Linked DNA regions of Coturnix japonica. The protein of the gene in region 1 binds, or shares a complex with, the protein of each later gene. Links are inferred from orthologs where the notes say so. Each region holds a gene or a part of one and is shown on either strand. Other genes may lie near its edges.

Region 1 (4,836 bases):
ACATTTATACAAGAGCAAGTCCTATGGTAAAGTTGCAGAAGTTGTAGTGGCTGTAAGTATAAAGTGCTTTAGCAGAATAGGCTATCCAAATCCCATCTAGGGTTTATTTAAAATAATAATCAATGTGCAACTTCTGATTGCATGCTCTGCCTTCGCACGGTGCCCTAGTCTGCAAGTACAGCATGTGATTCCTCATTTCCAATGGCCTCACAGTAGCTGTCTGACAGTAGTCAGAGATTTTCCACACCCTTCTTTGAAAAATATAGGGCCCAACCTCACATGGCTTGCACGTCCAGAATTCCTGCTAACTGCAAAGGGAATCTCTTCCATATAAAGATACAAGACTGGATTCTCAATGGAAAATTAAGTAAACACATTGAGGGTGGCCCTCCCATAAAAACATGCAGACATGAAAGAGCTCATTCCCATCCTTCTTTAGGAGTATCTTTACAATTTATCCATGAAGTTCTATTATAATGGAACGTGGTGTTTTAAATGTGCAATATCTGGCATAGGTACAATATAGCATTTACATTTTGCCAGAGAAGCTCCATGAAGTATGAAAGCAAACAATAAGGGAACACTCCTCCCCATAAATTAGCAGAAAGAAACTGAACATTAAAAGAAAAACAGGGAAATGAAGATGGAAATGATCTGAACACTCACTGTTCTGGATTTTCAGTGTGATATTTGAAACACAGCAAAGACAATGATGGGCAGCATTCGATTTCTCTAATTGCTGATGACTGCTCCCTTGGATCTGTTGGATCTGCAAGGAGAAACGAGTCATTCTTGAAGATCAGCTGCCATCTAGTGAATGTCGTGAAAATCGTGTTGGGTTTTGTTTTGCTTTTGGTCTTCTTGTTGATTTTGGGGGGTGACTGACAGTTTAAACTAGATTTTTGGTGGTAGATCTGTTTGTCAGGAGTGAATTTGGGGTGTGTAAAAGTTCTGGGAGCGATGGCTACTCAAAGGTACACATTCCAATCCAGGGCAGCCACTCAGCAGTGCATCCCATAAAAATTCTTAAATAAGGTTTTCATCCTACCAGAACAAAACAAAACAAGGCGATTTTTCACACTTTCAAAAAGCTGTATTAATGATTTCTGGGCTCTGCTTCCTTATAATGAGTTCCTATGAAGTATTTAGAACTAGCTGAGCTAACAACATTCAGATTGCCTCTTTTTGTTTGTACTGGTTACTGTTCTGTACTGGCTCACACAGGGCCATGGTAAAGGACACCGTCAGAAGGATTTCCTTATGCTTTTCTGCAGGAGCCTTCGGAACACACCTTGACAGCCCTGTCCTGCAGGGCATCCCTCCCTGCCCCGTGTGATCACAGTGTGTGGGGTCTCAATTGGAGTCTGTGCGTATTACTTTACTCACAATTAAGCTACTCGCTGGACTGAAATCACGCACACTGCAGATTTCACTGGCGATGATGCTTTTCTCTCTCAGCCCAGCAGGTTCGTACGCTACTGTGAAGGTAACGCCGGGCAGGGCTCTCGGGAAGGAGGCGGCTCCCAAGTGCTCCGTGGAGGCGGGGATGTGTGAGGGGAGGCGGGGAGGTGCGAGGGTTGGTTGTGGATGCCCCGTCCTTGGAGGTGCTCAAGGCCAGGTTGGACGGGGCCCTGGGCAACCTGATCTAGTAAAGGTGTATGTTTGGTGGCCCTGCCGGGCAGGGGGTTGGAACTACATGATCCTTGAGGTCCCTTCCAACCCGGGTCACTCTGTGACTCTGTGTGCTGGGAGGCGGGGCCGCGGCTGCGCCCTTCGTGGCGGTTGTTGGCGCGTGCTCGTGCCGCCATGGATCCCGTGTCCCTCAGGCTGCTCCCTCCGGACCCGAGGGATGAGGGCACGCAGCGGTGCCGGCTGGGCCCCGCCGCCCTCTCGTCCCTCGGGGTCGTGCTGGGCGCTCCGCTGCGGATCTCGCTGCCATCCGGGTGCTGTCTGTGCACCGCGTGGCCGCGGCCGGACCTGGCGGACGGGTACGTGCAGGCGGACCCGGCCTGTAGCACCGGGCTGACATTGGCAGCGCTGCGCGAGCTGTCGCTGAGCCCCGGCTGCTTCCAGCCGCTGTCCGCCCGCCGCCTGCGGGGAGCTGCGGTGCGTGTGGTGCTGCGGGGCGGGGCAGCCAGGCGGGCTGCGGGGCTGCAGGAGGCGGTGCGGGACCTGCTGAGCAACCTCTACGTCTCCCCTCACTACGTTGTTACCGTCGGCCCTAATGTCCGCACTCCCGTGGTGCACATAGAGATCCTGTCTGTAGAGCCCGCGACTGAGGAGGCCGGGCTGATAACCTCGCAGACAAATGTAACGATTAAAGAGGTGATGGCGTTAGAACGGTACAGGCTCTTAACGGAAGAGACAGCAAAAATTCCTGTGGCTGGGCTGGACGATGTGAGGGAGTCTCTGATAGAAATGGTGGACCTGCCGTTCCGCTTCCCAAGGACGTTTAACAAGTTGGGGCTTCCCGTCCCCAATGGGGTGCTGCTGGTGGGCCCTCCAGGCGTGGGGAAAACGCTCCTGGTGAAGGCGGTGGCGAGAGATGTGGGTGCGGATCTGCTGTGCATCAGCGGCCCGGCGCTGTGCGGCTCCAGGCCGGGGGAAAGCGAAGAGAATTTGCGACGTGTCTTTGAGAAGGGCAGGGAGATGTCCTGGGAAGGGCCCACGCTTCTGTTTATTGATGAGATCGACGCTTTGTGCCCAAAACGAGGGAGTTCCAACAGCGCTCCTGAGGATCGCCTTGTGGCTCAGCTGCTAACGCTGCTGGATGGTGTCGGTCGTAAGGACAGGATGGTCGTTGTGGCAGCGACAAACAGGCCTGACGCCTTGGATCCCGCACTGAGAAGACCAGGCAGGTTTGACAGAGAAGTAAGCAGACATTGCTGTCCGTGCTCAGTCCTCTTTTCTTCCTGTTTAAGGGAGGTGTCATGGGGCTGGTTAGTAAAGACAAGCCCGCAGTTCACATAGTCAACCTTGAAGATGCTTTTGCTCTTGGCTTGTGTTTTACAGAACGTGTTCAATTAAATAAACCTGTTATCTAATTCAGCCTTTGAGAACAATGAAATAATAACCTAATTGCTAAGTCAGATGTTTCTATTACCTTAAAACAGGATTCGATGGACAGTAACTCATAGTGTCTTATGAACAACTGATTATACAACTATTCACTTGGAAAGTAGGCATAAATTAAAGATGCTTTAAATATCTGTAATCTATTATTAAGCTTCTCCTAAATTCTTTGGTTGTAATGTAAGTATGTATAAATCCTTAGTAGTTGGTTTAAAGTGGAGACAAATTTGCGTGGCCAGGTTGACAAAATGACAGGAATATGGTGAAGTAACTATTGAAAATTTCATCTTCTTTGGATCAGGTTATTATTGGGACCCCGACGCTTACGCAGAGGAGATCCATCCTGCAGATGCTCACCTGTAGCATGCCCATTTCTGCAGACATTGATTTGGTTAAACTGGCAGAGATGACAACTGGGTACGTTGGAGCTGACCTTACAGCGCTCTGCAGAGAAGCTGCCATGCAGGCTGTGTTCCACAGCTCCTTGGTATGGTTGTAAATAAAGATGAAAGTCATGGTTATTATCTAACACCCTTTCTCCATTAGCACTTAGTTTTACTTGAAAATCTGAACAAGATGAGGAATTCAGAAGTTAAAGTGTTGTAAATGTAATTGAAAATAGTGAAATAATTTGAGCCTGGTATCCTGGGAAGACAGAGATGGGCAAATAAAAATAATCAACAAGTAGATGGGCTGTTTGCCACGAGAACTGCAAGCTCCTTGGTAAAGCATATCACAATACTTCTGTTATTGCATCTGTCATTTAAGATTGGAACTTGCAGTCTGCTTGAGGGTTATGAATGTTGGACCTTTTTGATTATTTAAAAGAATATGGGAATTCGTGTGTAGTAACCCTGAATTAGCATCTGTTTAACTTAGTTGGAGCTGTGATTTAGGGAGAAAAGTAATTTTCTGTCGAACACACAAGTCTGATAAAATTGTTCTTTCCTTATAAGATCTTGCCACAAAGAGTGTATATTCTGTCTTGTTACATCTTTGTGTATACACTGTTGGAGCTTGTTAGGGTGGGAAGTTTAGTGATTATGGCTGTCTTTGGCCTTTTGTGAAGCGTTTTATGTGCTAATAAAGCTTTATAATTTATGATGTGAAAATGTGGCTAATACACTGTGTTTTCCTTCAGGATTCAGCTGAAGTGCTGATTAACATGTCAGATTTCCAAGAAGCTTTTAAAAGAATTCAGCCATCCTCTTTTCGAAGTGCAATTGGACTCAAAGAATGTAAACCCGTCACTTGGGAGCAGATTGGTGGTCTTGAAGATGTGAAGTTGAAGTTAAAACAGGTAAGGTGTAAATGCGTTTAGGTCAAGAGAGTTTCTGATGGCCTGTTCTTCAAACTGTTCTGTGTGTTATGTTGCAGAAGTGCTTTATCATGCAAATTTTTAGTATTATTTTCTACTACATTAAATGACAAGCACTGTAATAATTTAGCATCTCAAGATAGGAGCAGCAAGCATAACACAATGAAATAATTATTCTGCTTCCCAGTAGCTGGTAAACCCTGCAGCAGTCCATTTCTGAATGTATAGCCAGAGGTGGCTCTTGCATATCATTCAACAATTGCCTTTTATTCTGTTTGAGACTGAGAGGGAAGCTCCAGAAGGGTGGCTTTGTGTTTTTTCTACCAAGGAAGACCAAATTAGCATTATGCGTTGCTTTCAAATTAATATATGCACTAAAGAGTTGGAGTATTGTGCTCCGCTGTTTTGTTGGTTGTCTTTGATCTTCAGTTCTGTCACCGAGAATT
Region 2 (5,176 bases), on another chromosome or scaffold:
ATCCAAGGGATTACTTATGATGCATTGCCCATTCAAGCCCGCATTACAAGGCAGCAGGAATAAAGAGCTGTGCCTGGACTCCTGCGTTCTCAGTCACAAAAAGCCAAACCAACAGCCACTGAAAAAGCCAGCAACAATTATCAGATGTGGTAATTAATAACTGTGATAAGCTGCACTGCTTGATAGAAAATAATCCCACTCTGACACTGTTTACAACAGTCACAACACCTATTTCATAACATATCACATGGATTAGCAGATGAATGTGACCAAACTACTTCTCAGGCAAGAGTTCTTCATGGCACTGAGTTACAAACAACCTGAGCACATCACCACTCCTTTATATTTTCACACATCTCCTTCCTATCTGCATTTTAGAACTCCTTTCTCGTGGCATTTTCTACCTTCTATCCATACAGCCAACTAAACACCAACAACACCTACAGCTGAAGTCTCCTGCTTGCTCCCCTATCCACACTGCTTTGCTGGTTATGCAATTTTAATGCCTCCTGCTTGACTGTTATTCCTAACTGAAACCCAAACTTGGTGCAGAGTCCCCCCCACACAAAACTTCCTCTAACATAAACTGCCATAAACTCCCCAGTTACTGCTTCATGAGCTCCGTGTTTGTTTCTTTAACTCCTCTTTTCAGCTGATATCAGTCCCTCACCATACTAAGATGCTCTGGCACTTTGTGTAAACGCAATCATTTTCCTGCACGGTCTTCAATTTCTAATTACACTCACACATCACATATAGTCTTCTATTTATCATTAGGACCCTATTTAATCTTTGTTAACCAAAGGCGAGCAGAGGGCTGTCCCTGCAGACAGGTGTCAGCAGCCACTTGGAACAAGCACTAAGGATTGCAGGCAACACCTGATGCTGCCCATGGAACACCAGATCAGAGTCCTCCCTTTACAACTCGCAGACAGCACTTAGGAATCGTGTTAAATGAAGTATTTGGAAAGCAGAGCTGTTGCTGCAGAGCTGAACTCCTTGCAGAGGGCTCAGCACAGGGACGGCCAATGTGGGGGATAATCCTGTGCTCAGACAGACGCTCCGTTGGCTCCAGCTCCAGCGTATGTCACAGACTCAGCACAAGAGGCCAAAGCTGTCGCTGCTTTTCTTACCCAGGCATCCTCCCTGCACAGCTCTGTTGTTCAGCTCTTCCATGGGAATAAATCCTTACGTTCAGGCCCTTTGGAGAGGGACAAATTCTGACCTCGGCCACATCCTGCCAGCTACAAACGCTTTTTATTTCCCAACTCTTCTCACGTTTTCAGGTAGTTACCCCCAAATTAACGCACGAGCGGCTCCGAGCTACCCACGAAACGCTGCATTTTGGGCGTCTTTTCACAAAGCAGAGGGTAAAAACAAACAAACAAGAAAGAATTCCGACAGGGACTGCGGAAAGGCCGACCCAGGCTGCAGCCCACACACACACAGGTGCGAACTTTCACCTCCGAGCCCCGAGTTCCCTCAGCCCGGCATAGCGCCCACCGCATCCTCCTCCCCTGGAAACCAGCTTCCATCCGGCGCTCCTCCGCGTTCCTCCCCACAAGCAGCAGCAGGAGGCGGAGAAGCTTTCCCGGCCGCACCATCGCTGTCGGCCGCTCCACCGCGGCTACAGACCGCCGAGGACGGAGGCTGCACGGAGACGCGGCAGCTCTTACCGCGTCAAGAGCCGAGGGCGGTCATGGCTGCCGACGGACGGGAGAGAGAGGACGCAACAACACCCGGACCCCCACGCACCGGCGGCTGCCCCGCTGCCTCAGCGGCTCGGCGGGGCCGGGCCTGGGCGGGGCCGGACGTGAGCGCACTTCCGCGGGCGCCGCTATGGCGGGTGAGTGAGGAGCGGGCCGGTGCTGTAGGCAACGCCTGCATGGAGCCGGAGCGGGATGGCCGAGCCTTTATCTCAGCCACAATGACTTGTTTCTCTATGTTTTCACTGAACTTGCTGTTTTTGTCGTACATAGCAGGAAGTCTTGCTGATGGTACTCCGAGAAGACCTGTCCTATCTGCCAGTGCAAGAAAAATTAAAGATAATGCAGCAGACTGGCATAACTTGATGATGAAATGGGAGAGACTGAATGATAATGGGTTTACTACTGCAAACAAAATAGTCAACATGAAGATCAGTGAGCAGTAAGTACGCTAATAACATATACAAGTGAAGACAGCATGAGGATTGCCTTTCTGAGGAATTACTCTGTTCTCTTCACAATAACGATTTTTTGGAGTTTTATGTGGACAGAAGAAGCTATAGCAGTGATGATTTGGGAAAAAAAAAACAAAAACAACAAAACAAACCCAAAACAATAAAATAATTGTGGTAGAATAGTGTTATCATGCTGTGAAGAAAAACCTTACAACAGGCAGGGTTTTGAGAAGTAGCTTCTGAAGAGTCTGTCAGGTGAACAGAGTTTGTTTGACAGTTCTATCACATAAGGCTCGGGAATATTTTGCTGTGGAGGTGTCAGATGTTGCTTTCTCTCTCTAGCACCTCCCTCTTCTCTGTCAATGTTTACAGGAATGAAAGGCAAGAAGTGGGAGAATCAGCAAGACAAGACACATGCCTGCTCAGTAGCTGCTCTGGTTCATAGTTAAATCTTAGATCAAACTGACAGTGAAAGTGGCTGTGGGGAGGCATCAGGCCTGGCTGGGCCGGTTGAAGCCTGGCATACATTCCCCCTTGTCAGGGACAACGTAAAGTGGGAAAAGGTTTTATCTTAACGTTTGTGAGTGTTTTGGGTTTTTTATGAGCACAGACTGTAACATAGAGACACCCCACGTTCTTCTGAAGGTTACCAGCCTTTATTGCTGATATGGTTAGCTGCGTTCCTTTCTGGTTTTATGTAGGAATTCTCATGAGCAGCCTCTGAGAGATTCTGTGGGATCAGATCACACGGACTTTAAGTCTGCACAGCTTGAGTAAACCTGTATGCCTGCCTTATGTTTCTGTTTTAGATTTCAAGATAACAAACTGGAGATAACCTGTGATAACAGTACCACAGAATCTGAAAAGCCGTCTCCAAAGTACAACAAAGAACTGGACAATTGCTGCACAGAATTACTGGAGACCTTAAAAAAAATGGTAACATTCCTTTTTCAGTCCTAGAAGCAATATCAAGAGTTTTCAAGTACAACATAAGAACATGATGTTAAGGATCTGTTGCAAGCTTAAAATCAGGGATGTTCATTCATACTTCATTGCCTTTAGACCTTTATGATGTAAATCCAGCATGCTCCATTTGTTTGCTTTCTTGATAGGTTTGAAAGCTGTTTATATATATCTAGCTTCTGCTCATAATTCTACTCTCCACTTCTAATGTTACTTATAATGTGATCCTCTGAAAACAAGTCATATAATAATCCATTCTAAAAACGCACTCACTGATGTTTGTTTTCTTATCCCAAATATCCCCTGTTTAGAACAAAGTAAACACCAACTTAAAGTACAGTAATGCTTTATCTGCCATGATATCCATTGCAGCTTTGCTCAGCCCTCATGCAATTACACTTCCAGTCTGCCTACTTCTACTTTCTGTGCAGAGCTCATACTTTCTATGAGGAGCAGAGAAAGATAATTATTCTGCCCACTTTTCTGGATAAATTGTCAGGAATTAATGTCACATTTCAGCGACATTAGACTTTTACAGCCTTTAGCTGTTTCGGAGGATCATTAAAAAGATAATAGATAGGATTTTATACAGACAGGCTACCAGACCAGTATTTAGAATAAGCAGGAGCACTTAGATTTTCCTCAGATTGTGTTCTGTGGGAAAAAGCAAGAGTTATTTGGGTGCTTCCCTTTTTATGCAAAATCAGAATCAGTAATTATCTGCAGCACCTGAAATTTTAGGGTAAATCATTAATTCTCTATATAAGTTCCAGTTTTGAGTCCTATCTGGAGTTAAAAAAAAAAGTGAATTAGAAATGCTAAGACTAACTAAAGTCTTCAGAAAGTGTTTAAAAAATGCTGAAGACTATCATGGCTTAACATTCCCGAGGTACTCATTAGCTTTATGTGTTCATTGTTTCCAGACAAAAATACAGCTGAAAATGGAAAAGCTCTCTTCAACTACCAAAGGAGTCTGTGACTTGGAAGAGTACCACCATGGAGCTGGGGGTTGTACAGCACCCCTGTTTCACTCATGGCCCACAGTGTACTTCTGTAAGTAAATTATTGATCATTTTAGATAAATGCACTTTGTCGTTGAAGTCATCCAACTTAGGACTTTCATATCTGTTTTATATCTGTTTATCCTCCCTTAGGAAGAGAAAGTGTGTGAATCAGTCTTCTTTATAACTGACTGATCAATAAACACACGGGTGCATTACTTGGTTTAGGATTACTGCTGATGACTGCTTGTATGAATTGACAAGCATTGTCTGGCATGCAACAGCCAGACAGTAGCTTAGAACCGAGCTTGTCAGCAGTTTCCAATGCCCAAGCTGCAACAGCCACATCTTTTGTAGAGACAGACAATTTTGCAGTTTGGTAATGTTAAGCTGTTGGCTACAGTCTGACCTGTTACTTGATGCTGAAATGAAATCCTTGAATGCGAAGAATGAGATATTCCTCAGTTAATTCTGAGGCACACAAAGAAAAGTAGCTCTTATCACAGTGTCAGTCAAGATAAATAAAGAATGTTCAGTTTCTGTCTTTTGTTACTATCAATCCATTTCAGATGAGGTTTCTCTGAAGCTCTCTGAAATGTACAAGAAGGAACTACAACTCAAGCAAACAATTGTACAAGAAATTGCTCATTCTACTGACCAGGATCTGATGATGGTCTATTTATCATCGTGGTTATACCAGCCTTACCTTGACAACAGCAGCAAACTACTGCTTGAAGCCATGCTTCTGGAAACAGGGCACAGACAGTGCTAGAATTTCAAGTGTTGCTTGACTTGCTTCTAATGATGCTTACATGAAACTGAGACGGTGAATTGATGAGGCTCACCAAGTAAATTAAGTTTTTGTAAAGCTTATTAAAAGTATATTTTGTATTTAATACTTTGTCGCAGCTGATACTCTTTTCTTTACTAGACAATCTGGTTGCTTTAATCCTTTTTAAGTGTTTGATGGAGGCTATGGATAGGAGGCTGGATAGAGGCTTCATAATTGTACAAGTTCTCCATTCTCTGACCAACTGCCTATACGATCTGC

Evidence for each region. Proteins that work in one complex are often made in the same cells at the same time.
Region 2: SPATA5L1 (region 1) and CINP share a complex: the UniProt entries of both Homo sapiens proteins name them as parts of the 55LCC heterohexameric ATPase complex. The link is inferred for Coturnix japonica from reciprocal best matches to the Homo sapiens genes AFG2B and CINP.

Annotation. Positions count from the first base shown.
Region 1 is NC_029525.1:9,450,592-9,455,427, forward strand, and holds the start of SPATA5L1 (spermatogenesis-associated protein 5-like protein 1), read left to right. Parts: upstream 1-1,757; 5' UTR 1,758-1,806; coding exon 1,807-2,871; intron 2,872-3,373; coding exon 3,374-3,559; intron 3,560-4,213; coding exon 4,214-4,372; intron 4,373-4,836. UniProt on the Homo sapiens protein: ATP-dependent chaperone part of the 55LCC heterohexameric ATPase complex which is chromatin-associated and promotes replisome proteostasis to maintain replication fork progression and genome stability.
Region 2 is NC_029520.1:45,118,295-45,123,470, reverse strand, and holds CINP (cyclin-dependent kinase 2-interacting protein), read left to right. Parts: upstream 1-1,721; 5' UTR 1,722-1,839; coding exon 1,840-1,846; intron 1,847-1,979; coding exon 1,980-2,148; intron 2,149-2,970; coding exon 2,971-3,097; intron 3,098-4,047; coding exon 4,048-4,177; intron 4,178-4,694; coding exon 4,695-4,897; 3' UTR 4,898-5,023; downstream 5,024-5,176. Other genes in the region: TECPR2 (tectonin beta-propeller repeat-containing protein 2), read right to left, coding at 1,464-1,535. UniProt on the Homo sapiens protein: Component of the DNA replication complex, which interacts with two kinases, CDK2 and CDC7, thereby providing a functional and physical link between CDK2 and CDC7 during firing of the origins of replication.